Alligator mississippiensis: one gene and its partners. The protein of the gene in region 3 purifies or fractionates together with the protein of the main gene of each other region. This does not show direct contact. Links are inferred from orthologs where the notes say so. Each region holds a gene or a part of one and is shown on either strand. Other genes may lie near its edges. The genes, in order: ATP5PO, mitogen-activated protein kinase 1 and PTPN5.

Region 1 (7,672 bases), on a different chromosome or scaffold from region 3:
TTCAAAGACTTTGCCAAGGTGGAGGTGAGACTGACTGGCCTATAGTTGCCTGGGTCCTCCTTCCTCCCCTTCTTGAAGATGGGGACCACATTGGCCCTTTTCCAGTCCTCCGGGACCTGGCCCGTGTGCCATGAGTGTTCAAATATTCCCACCAGTGGCTGCGCAACGACGTCAGCCAGTGCCTTTAGTACCTTCGGATGGAGCTCATCCGAGCCTGCTGACTTGAACGCGTCCAGTTCCTCCAAGTGCCTCTGCACCATCTCAGGGTCTACGCACGGTAGTCTGGCACCCTGCTGCCGCCTCTCTACCATCCCAGTGAGAGACTCGTCTTGCCCCTCACTTAGGAACACAGAGGCAAAGAACTCATCGAGGAGTTCAGCCTTGTCCCCCCTGTTCGTCACCAATTGCTTCTGCCCATTTAGTAGGGGTCCTATTCCTCCCTGGGCCTTCCTTTTACTCTCTATATAGCTGAAAAACAATTTCTTGTTATCCTTAACTTGGGATGCCACCCTCAGCTCCATGGTAGCTTTGGCCCATCTAACTGCCTCCCTACAAGCGCGAGCAGAGGAGGTATACTCCTCTTTGGTAATCTCTCCCTGTTTCCACTTTTTATATGTTCCCCTTTTAGCCCGTAGGCTGCTCTGGATTTCTCTGGTCAGCCAGGGAAGCTTTCTGGCCCCTTTCCCTCTTTTTCCTCGCATTGGGATCGTCTCCCTCTGTGCCCGAAGGATCATTTCCTTAAGGCACAGCCACCCTTCCTGGGCTCCCATCCCTTCAAAACTCCTACTCTGCAGTGCGTCCTTGACTAATCGCCTGAGTTAATTGAAATCAGCTTTCCTAAAGTCTAGCACTTCCACCCTACTAGTTACCTTACCCACTTGACATCTTATGATGAATTCTATTATTTGGTGATCACTGTCCCACAGGTGACCATCGATCTGTAGGTCCCCTACCATGTCATCCCCCGTTGCCAATACCAGGTCTAGCAAGGCATTCCCCCTAGTGGGACTATGTACCTCCTGCATCAGGGGGTACAATCGTTCTGACTAGAAGTAATCTCTGAAAATGCAGCTCCAGCCCTAAGATTCAAACAGGAAATTCACATAAGATCTAACAGAACATTAATTATAATTTTTGGAAAACCAACTTGTGGTGCCTCCCCAGTATGAAATAAAAAGCAGTAAGTTTAAGTCCATATTGTACTTTTACGGTTATAAATAACGTGTTTATCAGCATTGATGTTGGAAATTTCAGAACAGCCCCACAGCAAGGTCTTTCCATGTCCTTCAGGATTGGTCTGCAGTGGGGCAGAGGCCACGAGCCGCTGGAAGCCTGTCCTACTCCCAGACAGGACCCGTTTCTCAGTGCACATACTATGGCTTCCTCATGTCTGTGTCACACTGAGTGGGAAATCTTAGGGCAGCTGAGACACCTCTGCATTTAGCTGGCTGGAGGCAGAAAACTAAGAACCAAGCACTAGCAGAACAAAGGTAATCTGCAATCAGCATGTTTTTCTGGGGACCTGCAATTAGAGGGGCTGGTGAAAACAACCTGGTCTGAAGTGGTCAAAGGGCACCTTGATTGTCATCCCACTCCAGTGCACTCTAGGAAACATGCCATGCCTCACAGTTGAGCTCAGTGGTTCTCCATCTTTCTACCCTCCGTGTCCCCTTCCAATAACCCTCTGAAGTAAGTGCTGCACCCCCAGTTGAGAGCTGTTGAGCTAGCATCTAGTTAGAGCCATAGGGGAGGGGAGTAGGGTAGGACTTTTCAGCATCCTAAAAAAGCCAGGCTGGACAAGGGGCTCCAGAGGTCATTTAGTCCAACCCCCCAACCCTAGCCAAACTTTCCTGCACCATCCTTCATCTACACTCTACGTATACTGTTGTCAACCCTGACACAACACAGATCTAACACCCTAACCTGCCGCAGGTAAAGCAAAGGAGCCATGGCAGCCAGCATCCTGCTTCTATGAAATGTTGGCAATATTTTCAGGAGGTCCTGGGCAGAGACTGTGTCCTGCTAGAGGAAAGCAACCCCTGACCCGTACCCCTCAGTCCGTACCAAGCTGACCACGGGGTAAAATTCCTTCCTTACCCCAAACCTGGTGATCAGTTTGTCCCTGAGCAGAGGGGCAAACCCCCCTAGCTGGGAACCTCTGGCTTTGCTTCCAGCAGGAGCATTGGAAGACCCCAGCCAGTCCTCAGCCTTGGCTGTAGCCAACACCCAGGACATTTTTACACATGCTTCCAATGTGGTGCTAGGTTCTTTTAATTAGCGACCCATGCTTATTAAGAGCACCCATTTGTCACATTCATCTACACTAAGAAAGTGGTGGCAGTGGGCTTTGAACTTAAGTGCATGAAACATGTTTTAGTTCAAATCACACCACTGCCACGGCAGTGGCGGAAAGTGTTGGAGGAGGGAACCAGTGAAGCTGAGAAAACAAGACAGGGTACAGCTCTGCCTGCATCACCCCCGCCAGAGGTTGCCAACCCACTGGCAGGCTCCCATAGGGCCCAGCTGCTCCCATCTCCCTGCACCCAAGGGAGCAGCCACAGGCAAGGCTGGTCTGCCCCCCGCCAAGGGCCCAAGCCCGATGGCGCCCCTTAAGGGCTAGGGCAGGGGCCACCAACATACGCAGCACTGCGAAGCCGTGGGGGTCCCCTCCCCCGCAGGGGTGGCCCCGCGCATGCGCAGCACCGCCGGCCCGTGGGGGTCCCCCTCCCCGGGGCGCCCCCACAGCACTTCCTTCACCCTCCCAACCCCAACGGCTTACCTTGACGAGATGGGTGGCGGGGCGGACGAGGCCGGTGCTGAAGAAGCGGACCTGAGGGGGGAAGGGAAAAGCAGTCAGACAGGTTAGAAGCACGGGGTTGCCCAGGGCCAGCCGAGGAGGAGCCGGGCCGGACTGAAGAGACAGGCCCAGCAGGGAAGGTGGGGTGCCTGTCACCTTGTGAGAGAGCCTGGCGGCAGCCGCCATCTTCTGCTGCTGCCGGAGGTCACAGCGAAGCCTCCTGTGGCCGGTGCCCGGGACGCATGCGCAGTTGATACAGGCGCGCCGCGGGGCAGGCTGGGGAGGCGAGTCCTCAGGGTCGCGGCTTGTAGTTCTCTGCGCAGGCTCTTCGCCCTGGCGGGCCGGAAACTGCCGCACGCAAGTCAGCCTGGCTGCTGGACTGCTCGGGACCGCCAGGGGCCGCTGTTGCTTCAGCGTCTGGGTCGTTGTCCGGGCAGGAGCGGCCGTGCGATGCTAGGGGGTGGGATAGCGACGTCCCTCAGGGCCAGGGTATGTCCCCACGCGAGCACTACGCGGCCCCCTGCTGAGGGGGAAGGCGGGGCGCTAGGTTCGAGGCCACCAACGTCAACATAAGGCTGTTGTTTCAGTTACTTTGTAAGGAGTCAGGGTCCTGCCACTCGTTACGTACCTTGTGCCATTTCACTGTGAATCGCACAATAAATGTAGACAGGCGGCAGGTGCAAAGGGACAATCACACAGTTAATTGGCGAATCAAGCAATGCATGTAGACAGGCCACCATAAAAATGTCTGTTCTACTATAAGAAAGAGCCAACCAGCTAGTTACAAAGTTAAGAGCTGTGAGAGCTCTCTAGCTGGTTTTCAGCTTGAGTTGGAAGATGTGACCGGGTCTTTAGACCAAGAGCTTCCTAACAAAGAGTTACTTTGGTTTGGAAAGGCGGTGGGTGAGGGCCGTTGTTCTTGAAAAAATGATGCTATGAGAGATCTGCTAATGGACTAGGAAATCAGTTGTCCTGAACTCATGGCCTGTGTAGCTAAACTCGCATGACTGTTGCCCTGAAATGCTTGGCTAGCTAGGCTCAGTTGGTCTAATAAAAGATATCCCATCTACTCAAAGAACGTTGCCTGTCTATGTCCTTAGATCAATGATGGCTATAACCAAAAACCCAGTAGCTAGCTAGGTGCGCTTCTTATAAGATCTGGCAAGCGTTGGGCTCAATTGAAGTGCAGCAGGTAGGGCAGGAGCATGAAGAGCAGGAGATCAGGTAGGGAGCACAGCACAGGGCAGAAAGCAGGAGATTGAGCATGGAACAGGGAGTAGGAAGCAGACCAGCAGATGGGGCAGGAAGGGAATCTGGAGTGTCCCTCAAGAATAGTGTGGGGTAAATATGTGCCCCTCATTGACAGGTATAATTGTCCACTCCCTTAGAGCTAGTTGTTAGGGTCTTTCATATTTTCCCTTAGTCTGTTTTTCATTTATCAGCAGGAGAAAGAATGTTTTTTTAAACCAGGAAAATAGAGTTATAAAACCCTGAAAATTAACAGGGGAATCCAGGAACAACAATTTTAACTTCTGCAGCTGATTAATTTTCAAACTGTGATACCAGAATAGTCTTCTGCAAATTTTCCCAAGGTTGGTTTGCTGGAAGTGTGCACTCATACCTAAATGTTGTTTTGCAGGGGAGGATTTGGGGTTTCCTCTTCTAAATTAATGTAGTAAATGCAGTTACTATATTACAGGAATAATATTACTAGAGCGCTTGTAAAATTCGAATTCATGTTATTGTACCAGTTTGTTGCAAAAGAAAATAACAACATACAGTTAGGGATTTCTAACTTTATTAGCAAAATACCCATAACAGTTTTGATTCTTTTAAGTTAACATATTAAAGTCCTTTAGAGTAATTTAAGGGGAAACAGTAATTTAAGGGGAAACGGGGATGAAATATTTTTTTGTTTGTATAGATGTGTTTTTATATGCAATAATAAGTGCGAGGAATTATCCATAGGTGTGATGTTATACAAATTTAGTTATTTTCATACAAATGTTTGGCTATTTGAGTTGTGCAAAAATTCTAATTAGAACAACTGTCTTGTATTTTAATGAACATGGCTATTAGGGGAGCTGGGAGGTAATTTGTACTGGGAGTTAAACTTTGCTAGTTTGAAGGTGGACATTGGAGATCTGATTCTAAGGGACACCACATGGAGACTCAGAACACCTGAGTTCTTCTCCCAGCTGCTAGAAGCCTACTGCATTTCCTTAAACAAGTTGTCCCTTTGTCTCTTTGTGCCCCAGGTTCTGCATTTGTAAAATGGGGCTAATGATTCAGACCTCCTTTGTTAAGAGCTTTAACATCTGGTGGTGAAAAGTGCCATGCTGTATAAATATTGGGTATTATTGTTGTTCTCTTTTCACATATGCTGTTGTAAACAAGTGTTGAACAGTTACAAATATCCAACTCGGGATCCTTAAAATTCTAGTTTATTAGGTGGATTGAAACACTGTAATCATAAACCTTGGGGCTGGTCCACGCACGCACGCACGCACGCACGCAGTAGCAGGCTACAGAGTCAGGTATACCTATCCTACAAGCGCTGGAGTCTGTCGTTGAGGCTTCTTTCAGTGTGGTGTTATCTTCCAGAAGGGGGTCGCTGGCTGGTCCTTCTGGCTGGACAGGTCTGGTCGAGTTGGAGATCAAGAGGGCACCGCTGAGGGTCACTTTTCACTGCCTTTTATCTGTCCTTGGCAGACTTTGGTGACTCCCCAGTTTTCTGGTTTGCCCAATCCAGGGGTCATTGACCCTCGTGGGACTTCCCCCCCTCGGTGATTACTGAACAGCATCTGTCAGCCCCAGGCGTCCGCATGTATGTGCAGGTTTGGGAGTCCATTGATGAATTTAGAATAGGGATCTGGGAGTGGTCGATCTGGAGATATTCAGCCCAAAAGTTGGTCTCTGGTGTTGATTAAGTCAGGCCAGGGCTTCTAGCCCTTGATCAGTGAGGTATAGAGATTTCCCGGTTGTTACACTGTCTTCTATTGAGTTCAGCTTCCAGGTGATAATTGCTGCCTGCTTCCATGTTACACATTCAATCACTGATTCACTCACTCTTTCAGAGGCCAGCCTGATACAGGGAAGGACAGTTTGATTCCTGCCTTTGTTAACAATGTTACAATGTATAACTTACTAAAACACATTTAGTTGAAAGTTGAAAGGTGAGGAGTATAAAATATAAGCTACAAGTGCCATGGCACACAAATAGATAAAAATACCAAACTACAAGGGGAGATACAAAATGCACACATACAAATTTTAAAATACAATTCCTTATCTTAAAGTGAAAGAGAGAGGAAGGAAGAAAAGGTAGAAAAAGAGAAACATATCCAAAGAGGGGAGAGCAAAAGCAGGCAAGAGGAAAAGGGGGCTTTCTGCTACACAAGGTATAATTCCATAGAAATGAGCTGAGTTTTAACATGGGGGCAGAAAAAGGAGTCAAGTTGGGCTCTTTGAAATCACTAAGGTTGCAGCTAGAAAGAAGGTGATAAACCTATTTTTCAAAAGCTCCTCTTGGAGGCCTGAGTGGTAATGTGCAGCTAATTAATGGTATGGGTCTCTCTTTCTAGCAGACAGGTGTCTGGCATAAATACCCTTGAAGTTGGCAGGCTCAGCATAGAGGTCATCGATTAAATGTACACAGAAAGTGAACTGTCCCTTGAGCTGCTGAAGTGGTTATTTCAGGTCAGGGATGAGACATATTGGCAAGGTAAGCTTGCTGTGCTACACTGTTAGTAACCGAGGCCTTTTCACAAGAGAAAAATGCACTCCAAAGGGGAACAGGGGTGTAGGTTGTAGCCGTGTTGGTCTAAGGACATAGGCACACAAGGTTCCTTCGGTGAATCTGATATCTTTTATTAGACCAACCCAAATACTTGGAAAATAATTATTAAGCAAGCTTTCGGGTTCAAAAACCCTTCGTCAGGCTAAGGAAGTTTCAGCGGTTGGTATGTGCTCTTCCTGGATGGAATGAAAAGTAAAGAAAGGGGAAAGGACTTTTTATCTTTAAAGTTTAAATGTGCTGGGTCATGCTAACGTAAAAGTCCTGCAAACTGCTCTGTGTGGCTGGTTCTTTCTCAGTACTTGCATGGATCCTGTTTCCTAAGGTACTATGATCTGCCCTCATGGAGCAGTTTGCAGAATTGTGGCCTTAGATATGACACAGAGCAGATTCTCATTATATAGTGGCACTATAGCTTGTTTGTTACCACAAGAGGGAAACAAATACTAGTAGTAGGGCTTTATTTATTAACCATGGAAGTTGAGGGAAGATCTTTGTCTAGTTTTAGGGTGCTAAAACAAGCCAGGCAAATCCCTGCACCTTATGTCATTACATATTAACATATGTCAACAACTGAAGACAGCTATTTCACAGTCCATTTGTTCAATATAGTGTGAAATGAATTTCAGGGATTTGCCTGGCTTGTTTTAGTAGCATAAATATAGCTGTTAGGGGAAGTTAGGATAGAATTGAGTTGCGTGTTTTTATAGTAAAGTTGAAGAACCCACATGCAAACAAAGGGGAATCTTATCTCATGTTAAGCCTGGTAAAATAAAGATTCTGTTCCCCCTCTTTTGGCTAAATATGAAAGAACTAAAAAAATACTCTAAGAGTTGTGCACATAAATTCCTAGTAATTTGTCTCTCTTGCAAGAACTACAATAGCATTCAGAGGGTGTTTTGAAAATGGAGCTCTTGGATCTTTTGCCTACTTGCTGTGTGAGTGCCATTGCTGGTTCAGGGCCACATTCTGATCTCATTTACCCCAGAGTAACTCAGCTGACTTCAGGCATTTCATCAACTCAATTGTTTTGTGCTGTTGTATGTGAGAAGGTCACCCTTATTTAGATCAGATGATGT
Region 2 (8,030 bases), on a different chromosome or scaffold from region 3:
CTTAGCAATGGGCTGGGGGGGGCAAGAACCTGGCTATAGGGTGCAGGTCTGAACTCATTAGCAGCCAGGTCTTCATTGCATGTCTTGAATTACTAATTAAGCTAGCGCCCATGGTTAATTAATTACCAATCCATGGCATTTTGGTTCCAAAAGCCCTGGGGGGTCAATATGGGTGGGGGCTGAAAGGGGAGTTGGGAGATACTTAACACCCTGATTCTAATTAATGTATTTAATTACTAATGAATCACCTATTTTAATAACCAATGGCCTTTAGCTTCCCTTATGAATGAGCTGCAGGGAGCAGAAAGCCCTGGGGGTCAATATGGGGAGGGGGGCGGGGATCTTGGGAGATGATTAACAGCCTGTTCCTAATTCATTTAATGTATTTAGTCACTGATTAATCACTAATTAACCAATTGATGGCCTTTAGCTTCCCTTATCCCAGAACTACTCCAGGGAGAAGCCCCAGGGGCCAATACAGGGGGCAGGAGGGACTGACTGGGGGGTAATTAAGACCCTCTCCCTAATTAATTGCTAATTAGTCAGTGATTAGCAGGGGGGAGGTTCATGGATTGTGCCTCAGTTTCCCTTCTGGATGGGCCATATGGAGGGAGGGGGAGGGGGACCTGAGGCAATTAACTGCTTGATAATTAATCGTTTGTGAAACCCCTAGTTAATTAACCTGTGCCTAATCAGTTAACCTCTTCATTCCCTGTAGTTTCCCTTACCCACCAGCTACATAATTGAATGAGGGGAAATGAAACACTGAGACTTAATGGCTGGCTTGTTATATATCCCTAATCAATTAACCTAAATGACCTGGGATTCATCCCAATTAATTAACCTGTGCTTAATTAGTAACCTCTGGATTGCCTGTAGTTTCCCTTAACGACAAGCTACATCCTTGGGGGAGGAGAAATGAAGCATAGACCAATAAGAGAGGATGAAGGCAGAGCTGACAGTTGATGAACGATCTTTAATTAATTAACCTGGGCTTAATTAGTAACCTGGATTGCCTGTAGTTTCCCTTAAGGACAAGCTACAGCATTGGGGGAGGGGAAATGAAGCATAGACCAATAGGCTGAAAGCGAAGATGAGAAGTGATTAGTGACCTGTAATTAATAAGCTTTCCTCATCAACGGCTTACAGGGAGTTAAATATGCAAATGCAACAACCTACATTTGCATATTTAATTCCCTGTAGCACACTGACGAGGGAAAGTTATTAATTAAGTCTCAGTTCCCTGTCAAGAGGAGGGGAAGGCAGGGCTTCCTGGATCAGGGAAGGCCCCTGATTGGTGGGGTGGGCAGGTGGGGCTGGCTGGTGACGCGCAACCCAGATCTGGCACCTGATTGGTTCTGGAGGGGGCAAGATCTGTGTTCAAGGTAGAGGGTTGAAAAAGGGAAGCTTCGTTTGATTGGTGGTTGGGAGGGGGAGGAGTTTCCGTGTCGCCGCCCCCTCCTGTCCCTGGTGACCACTGGGTGCTTATGGGGGTGGGGCCAGGAGGGCCAGGTCTCTGGAAACCCGCCAGCCATTCATGAGGCCCACTCAGGAGGCTTTGGCAGCTGGCTCCACCCACTCCACCTGAGGCCCCGCCTTTTCAGCCTGCAACTCTTCTGTCCAGTGACCCTGCATTGGGGAAGGGGCAGAGGGGTCAGAGGGCATGGCCCGCGGCGAGGGGTGGGGCTTGGAGATGGGGGGGGGGGTCAGGGCTTACCTGGGAGGAGCAGAGGTCGTCCTCAGGGTTGTCGCGGTAACCCAGGTGGGAGCGAATCAAGTCACCCCAGAGGACGACCGTCTTGCAGCTATCGGGGGAACGTGGGGGTCAGTAGTCGGTGTGGAAACAAGAGCCCGCCCCCCACCCTTCCCCTCCACCTACCAGGGGCAGCGGCCCTCCACCGGCAGGAACTGATGCGGCTCGTCTTGCAGGAAGTAGCGCGCCAGGCAGGGTGGGTGGGCCGCCAGGGGGCAGCCTGATTGGATGCAGCGGAGGGGGGCATCCACCTCGCCCTGTGGGTGGGGGGGAAGCAGAGGGAGCACCCAGGCAGCCAAGCTCCTAGCCCCGCCCCTCCATGACCCCTGGTGTCCGGGCTCCGCCCCTCCTCGGTGGGAGGGAGACCCCGGGTGGCCGGCTTACCTGGAAGTGCCCCTCGCAGAGCTGGCAGGTGACCCCTGGCACGGCCGGAGGGGGCAGGGCTTGGTGGGCCAGGCGGGGCTGGTCAGGGAAGGGCCCATAGGTGATGGGCACGTGGGGGGGCGGGGCCAGGTCAGGGAGCGGGGCCGGGAGGCGGCCAGGGCGGAGCCAGCGCAGGGCCAGGGGCAGGCGGTCCCAGGGGGGGACGCGGAGAAGTTGGGCCAGGACCCCCAGGGCGGCAGCGAGGGGGGCGCCGGGGCGGCGGGCGGGGCCGGGGGGCAGGCGCCGCGACGCCCCAGGGTGCTGCCATGCCCACTCGAACTGCGGAGAGAGAGGGGAAACCGGGGTGAGGACCAGGTGTCCAGGCTCCTAAATCCCTAGGTCCAGCCCCGCCCCCCTCCCAGAGTGCCCAGGCTCCCTGCTCTCACCCCCGCCCACTCCCAAGGACCCCAGGCCTCTGGGCTCCTGAACCCCTTAGGCCTTGTTGCTCCCATCCACTAGGCCCCAGTGCCCTCCAGGGGGCGGGGCACTCACCCGGAGGGCAGCCACATTGGAGGGGAAGCCATGGACGATCAGCACCATCTCCCTGTGGGGGGGGAGCAACGCATACTGGGAATTGCTGCTGCAAAGCATGTTGGGAGCCAGACCCCCAGAGTAAAGCATGCTGGGAAACTGGTGCTGCTACAGACAAGTATAAGTATGTTGGGACACCAGTGCCTCACAGCAAAGCAGGCTGGGAGTCTGGTGGTTGTGCTGCAAAGCATGCTGGGAAGCCAGGCACATAAAGCAAGGCATGTTGGGAGTCTGATCCCTTGCAGCAAAGCATGCTGAGAGCTTTACCTGCCAGGTGGGAGGCTAGGCCCATAAAGCAAAGCATGCTGGGAGCTTAGTCCTCCCTCAAGCAAAAGGTCTAAGCCACTTTCAGCAAAGCATTCTGGGAACCAGGTCCCTTGCAGAAAAGCATGGTGTGAGCCTGGTCCTCTTACAGCAAAGCATGCTGGAAGCTTGGTCCCTCCCAGCAAAGCATACTAGAGGCCTGGCCCTCCTAAAGCAAAGCCTGCTGGGAGTCTAACCCATGTAGAGCAAAGCCTGCTTGGAGGGCAGGCCCATAAAGCAAGGCATGCTGGGAACCAGGTCCCTAGCAGCAAAGCATGCCAGGAGCGTGATTTCCTGAAAACAAGGCATGCTGGGCAGTAGCCCCGCCCCCCACGGTGGCTCACCATGGCCCGCGCCCACTGGTGCGGCGCGCGCCGCCATAGCGCCGCCCCCGGTTGTGCTGCCGCTCCCGGCGCCGCGGCTCCACCGTGAAGCCCACGTAGACGCGGCCCCGCCCCTCCGGGCGCGTGCACAGCAGCAGGTACACGCCGCGGAAGCCCCGCCCTGGGGCTGGTGCCATGGCACCGCCTGCCAGGCAGATGGGGGCGGGGTCAGGGGCGGCCCCTTGGGGGCCTGTTTCCTGCCACCCCCACTCCCACGCGTCTCATCACGCCCCGCTGCCCTTCCTGTGCCAATTTCCCAGCATCCCTTGCTTCTCTAGCTCCCACCATGCCCTGCGCTGCTCTCACCGACTCATGTCCCAGCATCCTCTGCTCCCATCATCCCCTCAGACACCAACTTCCCATCACCCCTTGCTCCAGCCATGCAGCCCACCATGCCCTGCTCCCCCTTCAGCGGCCCTATCGCCCATCATGCCCCGCTTCCTTGCCCACACTCCCATCACCCCTTGCGCCATCCCCAACCGGCACGAACCCCGCTCCCGCCGCCGGCGCGTGCGTCCTGGCCAATCCCCGCCCTCCTTCCTCCTCCCCCGCTCCCTGATTGGCCGCAGGCGCCCGGGGGGGGGCGGGACGGGTCGCTCCGCCCGCCCATTGGCCGAGCCCTCAGGAGAGGCGAGAAAAGAGCGGGGAAAGGCCGCCCTTCGCTGCCACTGGCCGGAAAAGGCGGGAGCTAGAGGCCGGAACCGAGGCGGTAGGCGGAAGTGGGGGCGGGACCATAGGCGGAAGTGGCCATGGCAGCGCTGAGCGCAGAGGCGGTGCGGGAGCGGCTGCAGCGGGAGCTGGAGGCGGAGCACGTGGTGCGTGGGGGGGTGCTTGGGTTCCCGGGGGGCACGGGGCCGGGGACGCCCGGGTTGTTTTGGGGGGGGTGGACGCCTGAGTCTCCTTTGCTCCGCTTCCCGCGCAGGAAGTGGAGGACACGACCCCCGAGCGCTGCTCCACGTCCTTCCGGGTCCTCGTGGTGTCGGGCCGGTTCCGGGGGAAGCCCCTGCTGCAGCGGCACCGGTGAGACACGCCCCCCCCTCCTTCTCCCCCCACCCTCCCGAGAGCCGCGGCGTGCGGGCTGACCCTGCCCCCCCGCAGGCTGGTGAACGAGGCGCTGGCGCAGGAGCTGCCCCACATCCACGCGCTGGAGCAGCGCACGCTGACGCCGGAGCAGTGGGAGCAGCAGCGAGCGGCGCCCGGCACCGCCCGGGAATAAAGAATTATGGGAAACGCGCCTGGGCTCGGCCTCGCATCTGTGGGAGCGCCGGGGGAGGGGCGGGGCCAGTACGGATGAGGGCGTGGGTAGTAAGAAAGGGGGTGGGGCGTTGTGCCGGGGCGGGGCTTGTGGACCCTGGGGGTGGAGCCACTGTCTAGCTTAGGGGCCGGGCGGCAGCAGGCGGGCGAGAAGACCAGTGGGCGGTCTCTTCCGACTAAGGGCAGCGGGGTAGCGCGGCTTCACTCCGGCGCTTTGCGCAGGCGCCGAACGACCTCCTTTTCCTTTCTGGGTACGGAACGCCACGCATGCGTACTAAGCTCAGTGAGGGCAACAGCGGCTGGGCGAGGCTTCCTCCTGTCGCTCTGCGCAGGTGTTGCACCTCTCTGCCCGCCCCTCCTGCCAGTGGGCATGCGCTTTAAGGCAGTAAGGGTAGAGTCGCAGCGTCACTGCAGCGCTCTGCGCAGGCTCTCTTGTTCCCGCGCATGCGGGGTTGAGCACTGTGGGCAGCAGTTCTGCTCTGCAGCTTCACGCTGCCGTTGTGCGCAGGCGCCTCAGGGCAGCCGGGCGGCAGCGGCGCCTGCGCGCTGCGTCCGGGCGGTTCCGGGTGCGGCAGCGGCGATGGCGGCGGCGGCGGCAGCGACAGCCCCGGGCGGGGCTGGGCCGGTGGCGGGACCGGGGGCGCCGAAGCTGGGCGTGGAGTCGGTGAAGGGACAGGCCTTCGACGTGGGGCCGCGCTACACGGAGCTGCAGTATATCGGCGAGGGCGCGTACGGCATGGTGTGGTGAGCTGGTCCTGCGCGGCCGCCGTAGCGAGCCCCCGGCCCGGCCGGACCCCTGCGGGCCACCGTAGTCGGCCCGACTGCGGGCACTGACTCTTCCGCGCCGCCGTACGCGCGGTGGGACCCCGGAAGTGACCCCGACTATCCCCCGTGTGGGCAATGGGACCCCGGAAGTGACCCCTCTAGGTCCCCGTAGGGGCAGTGGGGCCCCGGAAAGATTCCTCTGGGACACCGTAGATTTCCGCCCCTAGGGAGCTAACCCCTGCGAGCCACTGTGCCCCACTGCATTGTGGGCAATGGGCTCCCTTCAGCTCAGCATTACATTTATGGCTCGCCAGGCCACTCTAATCGTCTCTGTTACATTTATGAAGGCCTTTGCCGCTGCCTCCAGGCCACCGTACGCCACTGCATTTCTGCCCCCCCCCCTGCTCCCGGTGCAGCACTCCTCCAGGTTACCCTGGCCCCTTCGTTCCCTCCAGGCTGCTGTTGTACCGTCAGCCCTCTGCCGCAAACCTTGGTTGTCGCAGCCCGTCTCCCCTTACGTTTCCGGTGCCCTGTGCCACCGATCCCTCCTGGGCGGGGAGGGTGGGGGTGTACTCGGGTCAGTGCCATCTCCGCTCCCCCCCATTACATTTATGGCGCCCTCTGCTCCAGGCCCTCCCAAGTTGTTGCGGCCCCATCTCCCCGTACGTTTCTGGTGCCCTCCCAGGCGGGAGCCGTAGCTGAGTCTGTGTCGCTCATGCTCTCCCCCCCAGCTCAGCCTACGACCACGTAACGAAGACCCGGGCGGCCATCAAGAAGATCAGCCCATTCGAGCACCAGACGTACTGCCAGCGCACGCTGCGGGAGATCAAGATCCTGCTGCGCTTCCGCCACGAGAACATCATCGGCATCAACGACATCCTGCGTGCCCCCAGCCTCGACCAGATGCGCGATGTGTATCCGCTGCCCCAGAGCCAGCCGCGTCGCGGGGGGGAGGGGTCCCACCCCAGAGCCAGCCGCAGCGGGGAGGCAGTGCGCTGTTATTGCCAGGCCTGCCCCAGAGCCAGCTGCACCGTGGGGGCGGGGGGGCCCCAGTTTCTCACCCCACAGCCAGCTGCATTATGCGGCAGGGGCGTCTAGTATATCCAGCCCAGAACCAGCTGCATTATGGGGAGTGGGGGCTGTTGTACCCAGCCCCTAGTGTCTCACCCCAGAGCCAGCTGCATTATAGGGGCCCTCTTACAGCTAGTCCCCAAAGTCCCACCCCTGAGCCAGTTGCATGATGGGGCCCCGTTACACCCAGCTCTTGACTTCCTGCCCCAGAGCAGCTGCATTGTGGAGGCTGATGTTACACTCAGCCTCAGCCCCACCCCAGAGCCAGCTGCATTACAGGGACCCGGTTATGCCCAGCCACCCACCCCACCGTGGCCCTTGACCCCCGCACCCAGCTACATCGTACAGGACCTGATGGAGACGGACCTCTACAAGCTGCTCAAGACGCAGCAGCTGAGCAATGACCACGTCTGCTACTTCCTCTACCAGATCCTGCGGGGCCTCAAGTACATCCACTCGGCCAACGTCCTTCACCGTGACCTCAAGCCCAGCAACCTGCTCATCAACACCACGTGCGATCTCAAGGTGCGGTGGCAGGGGGGTCCTGCCGGGCCACTGTAGCCCGTAAAACACTTGTCCGGGGCTGTGTGTCCTCAGGGGACCACCGTACCCGATGTCTCTGTGGAACCCGCAGAGCCGATCTCTGGGTGTGCTGTGGCCTCTCTGGGCCACTGCAGGACACATACAAGGCACTGATTGGGCATCGGTGGCCCCCGCGGGCCACTGTAGGACCCAGCAACCACACCTCTGGGGGTCTGTGTCCCCTTTGGGTCACCATACCCCACAAAATGAGCCCTTCGGGCCTCTGTCCCCCCTCCGGGCCACCGTCGGACCTGTGAAACCCATCTGTTGGGCTAGCGGGTCCCTTCCAGGCTACTGCAGGACTCCCAGTACCCACGTGTGGGGTATATATGTCCCCTCCAAGCCACATGATACCCACCTCTGGGGCCCCAATGCCCCTTTCAGGCCACCGTAGGACCGCCAAAGCCCATGTCTGTGCCCCATAGAGCCCATAAAACCCAGCTATTGGACCCCAAACCCCTGTATGGGGCATATCTGGCCCTTCCAGGCCGCTGTAGAAAAATTAAACCCACCTCTGGGGCCCTAATGTTCCCCCCAGGCCACCATAGGACCCCAGAGACCAAAGTTGGGGCTGTAATGTCCCCTCCAGGCCACCATCGAGCCCCCCAAACCCCTGTATTGGGCATATCTGTTCTCTCCAGGCCACCGTACTTGTGGTGTGATGCCCTCTGTCCTCCCCCACCCCCAGATCTGTGACTTTGGGCTGGCCCGGATCGCTGACCCCGAGCACGACCACACAGGCTTCCTCACCGAGTACGTGGCCACGCGCTGGTACCGCGCCCCTGAGATCATGCTCAATTCCAAGGTGAGGCCCCACACGCCTGGCTTCCCTCGGTGGGGAGGGGGGGCGGTAAAGCGGGACTCGTTCCATTCAGCCGGGCCACCCCTGACTCAGCTGCAGCATCGGGCCTGCCTCAGAGCTGGCTGCAAACCCGTTACGCCCTGGCACCCACCCCAGAGCTGGC
Region 3 (8,049 bases):
TCTTATTTTAGTGAAATTAATGGGCCTAGGATTAGGTCATCAAGCGTAGTATGTAGCTGTGTATTCACGTGGCCTTACACTGTTGCTTTTTTAATCCACTGTTCCATGCAAGATGCTGTTTGACTTAATGGGTCTGTTAACTCCCCTGGGTGAAATAAAACTCTCAGATAGCTTATGACCTAACATTGTAAGGTAAAACATTACAATCTATCTACAGGGACTATTTCAGTAACTTGACATAACATTTGAAAACACCCTGACCCCCACCTCCTCATCCCATAGGGGTGTGTTACCAGTAATTTGAAGGCTTACAGAATAGCCAGAACTGCTTTCACTGGTTTTACACCAAAAATCTTTGCACTGTTGTAATCACAGGGGGTATAAAACCTCTGAACAAGTTCCCTTCTCCAGTGCAATTTACCCAGTTATCCCTGTTTTTGCTGCCACTGAGATAAATCTGCCCCATGTAGGGCTTCCCTTACTGGAAGGGAATCCAGAGGAGGTGGTTTGTTTTTTAAAAGAGGCTTTATGTCTGCTTCACACCTTCCCACCTATGCAGAAGAGTCAGAGAGTGGGGGTAAATTAGGGCCTACATTTTCACAGAGGACTGCATTTACTGTACATGTAATTTAAATCAATAGACTGAAGAGGATGCATTTATTTTGATCCTTTGAGAGACGGTGTTATAAATCAGAATAGCAAGTAATGGTTTCCTTCCAGGGCCTACACTGACGCCTCCCCTGAAATTCTGAGCCCTGGCTCTGGTGTTGTAGGGGGCTGAGGAAATGTAGAGACTACTTTGCTTTTATTTCTTTTAATTTTGCCCAATGAATTAAGCTACTTTCTGCTGGGAAGATAAGAAAAATGGAACCCAAGCATGCTGGTGACATTCTGGCAGAGAAAGTGATATTATTTAATTAGGTGAAGAATACCTCTGTTCTCTGATTTTTGGTTGAACAGGCAGCTGTTCCAAGGCTCCTAAAACTTTCTTGCTTTATAGGCTTGACATCCAGTTCGCAGTTCTTCCTATAAAAGGAGCAATAGATGCTGCTTTCAAAGTTTAGATCCCATTTGCAAAGCTGGCCAAAATGTAAAGCTCAGCTTGAATAGCTGAAACCAACAAAGATCAATACCGAAGGTTAATCTCACTTCATTTTCAGAAAAACGAAGTTATGCACTTCAGCAAGTGCTTACCTTTACTCATATGTAAAACACTGGTTCGCAACTGTTTTAGACTCAAGACACCCCTTGTTAAGCATTAAGGCACCCCTAGGAAAATGCCAGCTCTTAGCTTTTGTATGTTTTTTTTTTGACCAGGGAAAAATAATACAGCAAATCTGTTACAACCCCCCCCCAAAAAACAAAACAAACTCAGAAAGACCACAACAGGTCTGTTTTTGACAGTACAGATCCCCAGTGAAATCTCTGAGCTTATCTTGTGTAGGTGCCTGCACACCGAACAGTGTTACTATTGCACAGCACCTTCACTCACCCTTAAAAGGCTCTCACCGCACCCTGGCCGAGAATCACTGCTGTAGATCTATTGAAACCAGCCCCACAGACATGGCTTTGCAAGATCAAGGTTTTCCTCCCAATGAAGCCAGTGGTAAAACTCCCACCCAGTGGTAAAACTCCCACCGGCTTCAATGGCAGTGACCTGAAGTACAAATACAAGTGAGTAATTACAAAGCTTAGTCCCAAGGTATTAACACACCTCCTCGCACTCTGCTATTCTGTAGTGGTCTCCTGGCAAGCAACGGTGAGAAGACCCGTGGGCGGGTTTTTTGTTCAGACCCTACACAGGGCAACATGGGGGGCTGCCAACTCCTGCCGAAGACAATGAAAACCTGGCATGAACCTGAAAGCTTCATCCTTCCCACTGAGGCAACAGTGGACCTCAACGCTCAGCCCAAACCAACCAAAGCTTCCCCCAGGGCGCACAACCGTCACCAGGCAAAAAAAGCTAGTCTAGCTGCCACATTTTGAAATCTAGCAGCGATTACAGGCGCCAGCGCACACGACCCAGACCCTCGGCTGCTCGCAGCGAATCCCACCCCGAGATCAACAGTAGCAAGACCTGGGTTCAGCAGCGGATCCTGTCCTGGACCAGACGCAACAGGAGCCCGTGCCCAGGGGGGGCTAGGGCAGCCGAGGCGACCCCTGGAGAGCTGCCCGCCAAGCCGCTCCGCTGTCCCGCCTCCCCACGGCCGAGCCGAGCGCCCCTCACCGCGCAGCGCCGCGCCGCGCCGCGCCGCCCTCCCGCCAGCGCCGCCATCTAGCAGGGAGCCAACTGGCGCCCAGGGCCGGCACAGCCGAGCCGGGCCGCGGTGTCTGCAACGGGGGCACCCCAAAATAAACCCTAGGGCCCTCTGTGCCCCCCACGGGACCGCCTGACCAACTCCCGCGGGGCGGGCCGGGCCGGGCCGGGGCGGGGCATTTACCCCCCCGGGCTTGCTAATGTGAATGTAACACATCTCCCTCCCCCCATGTCCCCAAACCTCTGCACCTCGCCGGGTCCAGCGCTGCGGGGAGAGGGCAACAGAGAGGACGGGGAAGGGGGGTCGCGGGCATCTTTGCAGAGAGATGCATGAGGAGTTGTGTGCGAGTGAGTGCGTGTCCAGACCCCCACCCCCTTGCAGTGACCCACCTCTGGGGCTGCTTGCTGGCGCCCTCCGGGGCCGCAGCAAAGGCTCCCCCAGCCCCAGCGCCCACCCTTTCCCCGCCGAGCCGGGGCGGCCCCGCCTCCAGCACCAGCGGCTGGAGAGGGGATGGCTGCAGTCGCGCACGGAGGGGACCTGAAGGGCTGCTGTCCCCTCCCCGTACACCCCCCCTCCCCCCGCCCGGTGCAGGCGCCCGAGCCCCGCGGCGCCTCAGCCCCCTGCTCCGCTGCCGCAGTCTCCCTTCCCCCGTGCCTGCCTCCCTGCCGCCCCCCGGCGCCGGCCCCACCTGCTCGCCCAGGTGCGGCGGGAGCCCCCGGCAGAGCCTCACTCGCGCTGCAGGAGAGCGGCGGGCGCGGGCAGGAGCCGCCGGGCGCGCGTGTGCGTGTGTGCCGCTCCGTGTGCCACGCGCACGGTCCCCCGCCCCGCAAAGCCCCCAGCCCTGCGGCGCCCCCCACCCCCTAGAGGCGCTGCCCCGCCGCCGTGGAGCCCCCCCAGCCTCCGCCCCTTGCACTCGTGAGCAGTGACCCCCCCCAGCCCATGACGATGCAAAACTTCCCTAGTTCCCTCCCCACAGAGAGGGACTTGCCAGCCCCCTGCCCCACTGCAGCCTGCAAGGAGCTCCAGCCCCAAACCCCTCCCAGCCTCCTTGCACGCTTGAAAGGGCCCCACTACGGTGCCCCCCCAGTGCAACCCCCTCCTCCTCCCCCCTTCCTGCTCCACCCCGCCGCACTGAACAACAAAGGAGCCCCCCTGCCTCCAGCCCGCTGAGCCCCCCTTGCGCCCTGCAAGGCTCCCTGCCTCCCCCCCACAGGACACAGGCAGCTCAGCCGGGGGACTAGCAAGGCATAGGAATGGGTATGGGGACTCCCCCTCTCCGCACTTGGCATTGCTGAAGGTGCAGGGGGGGCTTGACCCGCCTAGGAAAGGTTGACCGTGCCAGGCTGACTCCCCCTGTCTGTAGAGATGCCCCTGGGAAGGGCTGCAAGGCGGGCAGCAGCAACAGCCGCCCACCTTCTCCCTGTAAAAGCTGTTCTCTCTCTCTCCATCTCTCTCTCTCTCTTTTTCTCCCTTTCATGCTTGATTGACAGGCAGGCTTTCAAAGGCCTCCCACACACACACACAACACACACACACACACTTTCTCTCTCTCTCTCTCTCTCTCTCTCCCCCCCCATCCCTCCCCTGTTTTCCCTGAATCGGAGAGAGAGAGAGGGAGCCATGGCAAAGGAGAAAGCATGAATGAAATATTCAGGCTGCCAGGAGCAGAGGAGGGCCAAGGCGAGAAAAAAGACTCCAGTCCCTGAGGGAGCAAGAGCATCTGGAGCTCCCTCCCTCTCCCCCCCCACCATCCTCCTCCCTTCAGCAGCAACAGCCTGCACTGCCGCAGTGGTGTGTCCTGCCTACACACACACACACACACACACACACACACACACACACACACACACACACACACACACACGGGAGACAAGTAGGCACGTAACATGCAGACACAACGCAGGAGTGTTGCACACAGGCGGGCGCATCCATTAGAGCAAATGCATCCAGAGAGGCAGAGACGACAGCCCCCGAGCCCTGCTTTCTGTCAGCACAGTTACCTACACAGGTGAAGGGGGAGAGAGTGACATATTGGGGAGTAGGAGACAGAAGTGACACTGGTGCGGCACACACACAAAGATCACAGTCTGACAGGTGCCTCTCTCACCCCCTTCACACACACCCATCCACCCACACATTGCAGAGACAAACACACATTAAGGCTCCCATTGTGCAAGTGAGAGCTCTCAGACAGATTGCTATGTCATGAGCCACATTGATGGCTCTGCACCAGCTTCATCTGCCCACCAGTGTGGTACCTACTGCAGGATCCAAGTCTAAGACATTACACTAGACAAAAAAGGGCCAGCTCCTCAGCTGGTGTAAATCTGTTTAGTTCCATTGAAGCCAACAGAGCCAAACTATTTTATTTCAGTTGAGGACCTGGGACATAACACATGGTCTGGAACTTTTGTCCAGGGCTAGATCAAGGATCTTCAAAGCTGGGTGCTTCCCCACTTTTACCCTTTATTTGCTCTGTGCTCCTGGGTGAGCCATTTTGTTCAGCATAAAGGATATGCCATACCTTCTTAAAGACACATTTTACTCACACAGTTTAATATTCAGAGCTTCCAGAAGAGCTTTCCACCTTTCCACTCTTCTGTGAAATATGAAACATCAAAGCCAGAAAGAAATATGCTTCTACATCCTGCTGGCCACCAGACAACTTTGAGGTAAAAAGACTTTTTCAACCTTTCTCTGTGCCTAACTTGGACAAAAAGAATCTGAATTCATCGTAGAGGTGATATCTTTTATTAGGCCAACTAGATTTTTGCAAAAAAACCCGGACAAAATGAACAATTCCCAACAGGAAATTTGACTACATCTTCAGCTCTCCTGTGAAATATGAATTTTCATTTCCAACTAGGAGAATTTTTACAAACTCTGTTCTCTCCTATGCCTGAAGAAGGGTGTGTGCGCCCAAAAGCTTGCAAATAAAAAAAATAATTTGTTTGCAAATATCTAGTTGGTCTTATAAAAGGTATCACCTCTTCCACAAGTTTTGATTCCTTTTGGGATATGATGTGGCATTTTGTCATGTCCAGCCCCCAGTTGTCTTTCCTGCTTAGTGCAGGGGGCTGGACCTGATGATCTTCCGAGGTCCCTTCCAGCCTTACAACCTATGAATCTGTGAATCACTTATACTTACCTCACTTACACGGATGTTGTGGGGGCTGTATCTTCAGCTGGTGAGGACCAATATAGTTAATGGAGCTATGCAAATTGACACCAACTGAGATTCTGGCTCAGGAGGTTTATTTAATATTTGTAAAGCACTTGTGTTAGTGTTTTTATTTATTAAGAATATTGATTTGAAATCCTTCAGTGAAAAAAAAAGAATAGTAGCGTCATTTATCTAAATGTATCCTACAGGTTAAACTGATTATGGCATTTTTCTTTTCTAAACTCCTGTTTAATGTTGTTTTGTGTTGTTGGATAGCTTACATATTGCACCCCAGAGGTAGCTCCAATCGATAGTAGGTAAGTGGATTTCTCCCCATAGTCCCGTAGAGCCGGATTCTCAGCAGATGTAAATCAGTGTCCTTCCACTAATATTTGCCAGATTATTTGCACTAGGTAGAATTCTGACCCTTAGTTTATAAAGCTTTTCAGGATCCATATGATACAACACGCTTTAGTAATTTTTTATTAATTATTATTATTATTTTAAGTTTTGCATTCCTGAAAATCAGAGCACGTAATAAAACATTGACCAAGCCGTTTACTGTAATATAACAAATGCATCTCCTTAACACAGATGGGGCAGTGTAAGTCATCTGGCATTTGTCTGGCTTTTCACAGGTTCTTATGTTCATGCTAACAGTTCAACATGACTCACCAACAGTACATATCACTGCCAGCTGTTGTAAACCTTGTTCTGAGTCAGTGAATGACTGTGACGGAGGATTTTGGCAACGAGTATAATCCTAATGATTTTCCCAAAGAAGAGTGAATTGCTAATCAGTATCTATGCAGGGTGAGTCAGGGTTTCATGTAGGAATAAAACTGGACTCAAAGGTTACTAGTGGACTATCCCAGTAATGTCCCAACTCTAATACCATTCTTGAGAGGGACAGATGATAGAAATGTTTAATGTACAACCCTAATTGCTTCCTGATTAGAATATTGAGGTCTTTGCAAACTGTTCCTCCTAGAGGAACTCCTATATTGTTCCATATTTAACGTGACATGAAAACTTTGAATCCCCCTAAGGTGAGGGGGTCCTTTTAAAGTAATGGTCACCAACCAATGGATCTTGATCTACTGGTAGATCTCAGAGCCTCTTGCGGTAGATCTCGGAGCCTCTTGGAATCGATCCAAGGCTGGGGTGGGGGACCGAGTGCCCGTGTGCATGCACACAGTGCACCGCAGCCCAGCAGGTCAGTCCATGGGGGAGGCAAGGACTCCCACGGTGAGGGACAGGGCCACAGAGGCAGGAGCAGGGATAAGTTGAGTGAGGCCCTGGTGCCTTCCTTTACCTGCTGGGGAGGCGCACCCCCAAATAATTTTTTCTCCCTCTGCCTTAATCTGCCCCCCCCCCCCCCCCCGGACTTACCTGCTGGGTTGGGGGGGGCGGGGAGAGGGAACGGGGTGGTGGTGGTGGTGCACAGTAGATCTTGGGTTGCTTTTAAATGCCACAGGTGAGCTCCTAGTTAAAAAGTTTGGAGACCACTGTTCTAAAGGGGAGACAGTGTACAAAGAAATACTGGGCCAAGCTGGGGGCCACAACCTGGTCCCTTTATGCCAGCTCACAGGTAGATTTCCTTCTGTGGGAATCACTGGGGCAGAGGTTCAGTAAGCCGCTCTACACAGTTCCCTTCTCAGTTTCAATCATAAAGACATTCTGTGAATGGCGAGAAGCAGGTCAGAGGATTGTGGAGGACCATTATGCACTGACTAGTCCAAGATATTTACAGTACATGCCTGACATTACTGTAATATCTGAGAAATCACTTTTTTAAAATAGTATTTATCCTCACAACATTCCTTGGGGGCAGGGTAGTATTATTCATAGTCTGCTGAAAGGGAATAGAGGTAGTGGGCGCATCTACACGAGGCACTTACTGTGCATTAGCTTAATAACACTGCGCAGTAGCATGTCACAGCAAAAACCATGTTAATAGCCTACTGCACAGTTTTATTAAGCTAATGCACAGTAAGCATCACTAAATAACCGTGTGCTGGTGCTACTGTGGAGTAACTCTAGGTACTGTGCATTTAGTTAGTACTTTAAATGCGTAGTGTCTAAAGCACATTAATGAATGTGTAGACGTGCCCACAGAGACTTAAAGGCAGAGGTGTAAGTGGGCAGTTCTGTACTCTTGGTGGTGGCACTACATGAAGCGGTGACTGCAGCTGGGCTGCTGGCAGTGGTGCAGCAGCTCAGAGAGTAGTGGTGGCTGATGCTATTTTTGCATCCCTCTAAGGGTGGTGACTGGGGATGGTGGCCCAGTCACACCCTGCTTACTGCTTAATTGACTTCCTTAAGAGCATAGAGGGAGTTTGTGGTGAAGCAGGGAGTTGGATCTAGGTCTTCAGGTCCCTTTAACACTCTAATAGTTGGAGCAATCAGTTGAGGAGGAGCTGATCGAGAACTGCCCCAGCTATTGCCCACTTGCTGTGGAGGATGTAAGGTCCCAAGAACCTGCTTCTTTCAGTCAATATTCTGTCAGAGGAACAGGGGCTTGGGTTGAGCTTGACATAAAATACTCAGCTTTTTCTTTCACAGTCAAGACAAGCCTGCTGGTACAACAGAAGCCCCTGTGGGTACTCTCTGTGTTTTTCAGAAGGC

What was found.
Region 1: the proteins of PTPN5 (region 3) and ATP5PO purify together in Homo sapiens (affinity purification with mass spectrometry; 3 studies listed by BioGRID and IntAct, with this or other methods). This does not show direct contact. The link is inferred for Alligator mississippiensis from reciprocal best matches to the Homo sapiens genes PTPN5 and ATP5PO.
Region 2: the proteins of PTPN5 (region 3) and mitogen-activated protein kinase 1 purify together in Homo sapiens (affinity purification with mass spectrometry; 4 studies listed by BioGRID and IntAct, with this or other methods). This does not show direct contact. The link is inferred for Alligator mississippiensis from reciprocal best matches to the Homo sapiens genes PTPN5 and MAPK3.

The regions. Positions count from the first base shown.
Region 1 is NC_081824.1:292,565,349-292,573,020, forward strand, and holds the start of ATP5PO (ATP synthase subunit O, mitochondrial), read right to left. Parts: upstream 3,051-7,672; 5' UTR 2,984-3,050; coding exon 2,954-2,983; intron 2,831-2,953; coding exon 2,780-2,830; intron 1-2,779. UniProt on the Homo sapiens protein: Subunit OSCP, of the mitochondrial membrane ATP synthase complex (F(1)F(0) ATP synthase or Complex V) that produces ATP from ADP in the presence of a proton gradient across the membrane which is generated by electron transport complexes of the respiratory chain.
Region 2 is NC_081830.1:836,346-844,375, forward strand, and holds the start of mitogen-activated protein kinase 1, read left to right. Parts: upstream 1-5,002; 5' UTR 5,003-5,017; coding exon 5,018-5,391; intron 5,392-5,569; exon of another isoform or gene 5,570-5,684; coding exon of another isoform or gene 5,685-5,785; intron 5,786-6,143; coding exon 6,144-6,326; intron 6,327-6,818; coding exon 6,819-7,008; intron 7,009-7,753; coding exon 7,754-7,870; intron 7,871-8,030. Other genes in the region: structure-specific endonuclease subunit SLX1, read right to left, coding at 1,549-1,629, 1,718-1,805, 1,880-2,010, 2,138-2,455, 2,669-2,720, 3,355-3,530; bolA-like protein 2, read left to right, coding at 4,143-4,208, 4,316-4,413, 4,492-4,609.
Region 3 is NC_081825.1:190,624,635-190,632,683, reverse strand, and holds the start of PTPN5 (tyrosine-protein phosphatase non-receptor type 5), read right to left. Parts: upstream 3,053-8,049; 5' UTR 2,947-3,052; intron 2,690-2,946; exon of another isoform or gene 2,648-2,689; intron 2,224-2,647; exon of another isoform or gene 2,078-2,223; intron 1,828-2,077; exon of another isoform or gene 1,715-1,827; intron 1,111-1,714; exon of another isoform or gene 933-1,110; intron 1-932. UniProt on the Homo sapiens protein: May regulate the activity of several effector molecules involved in synaptic plasticity and neuronal cell survival, including MAPKs, Src family kinases and NMDA receptors.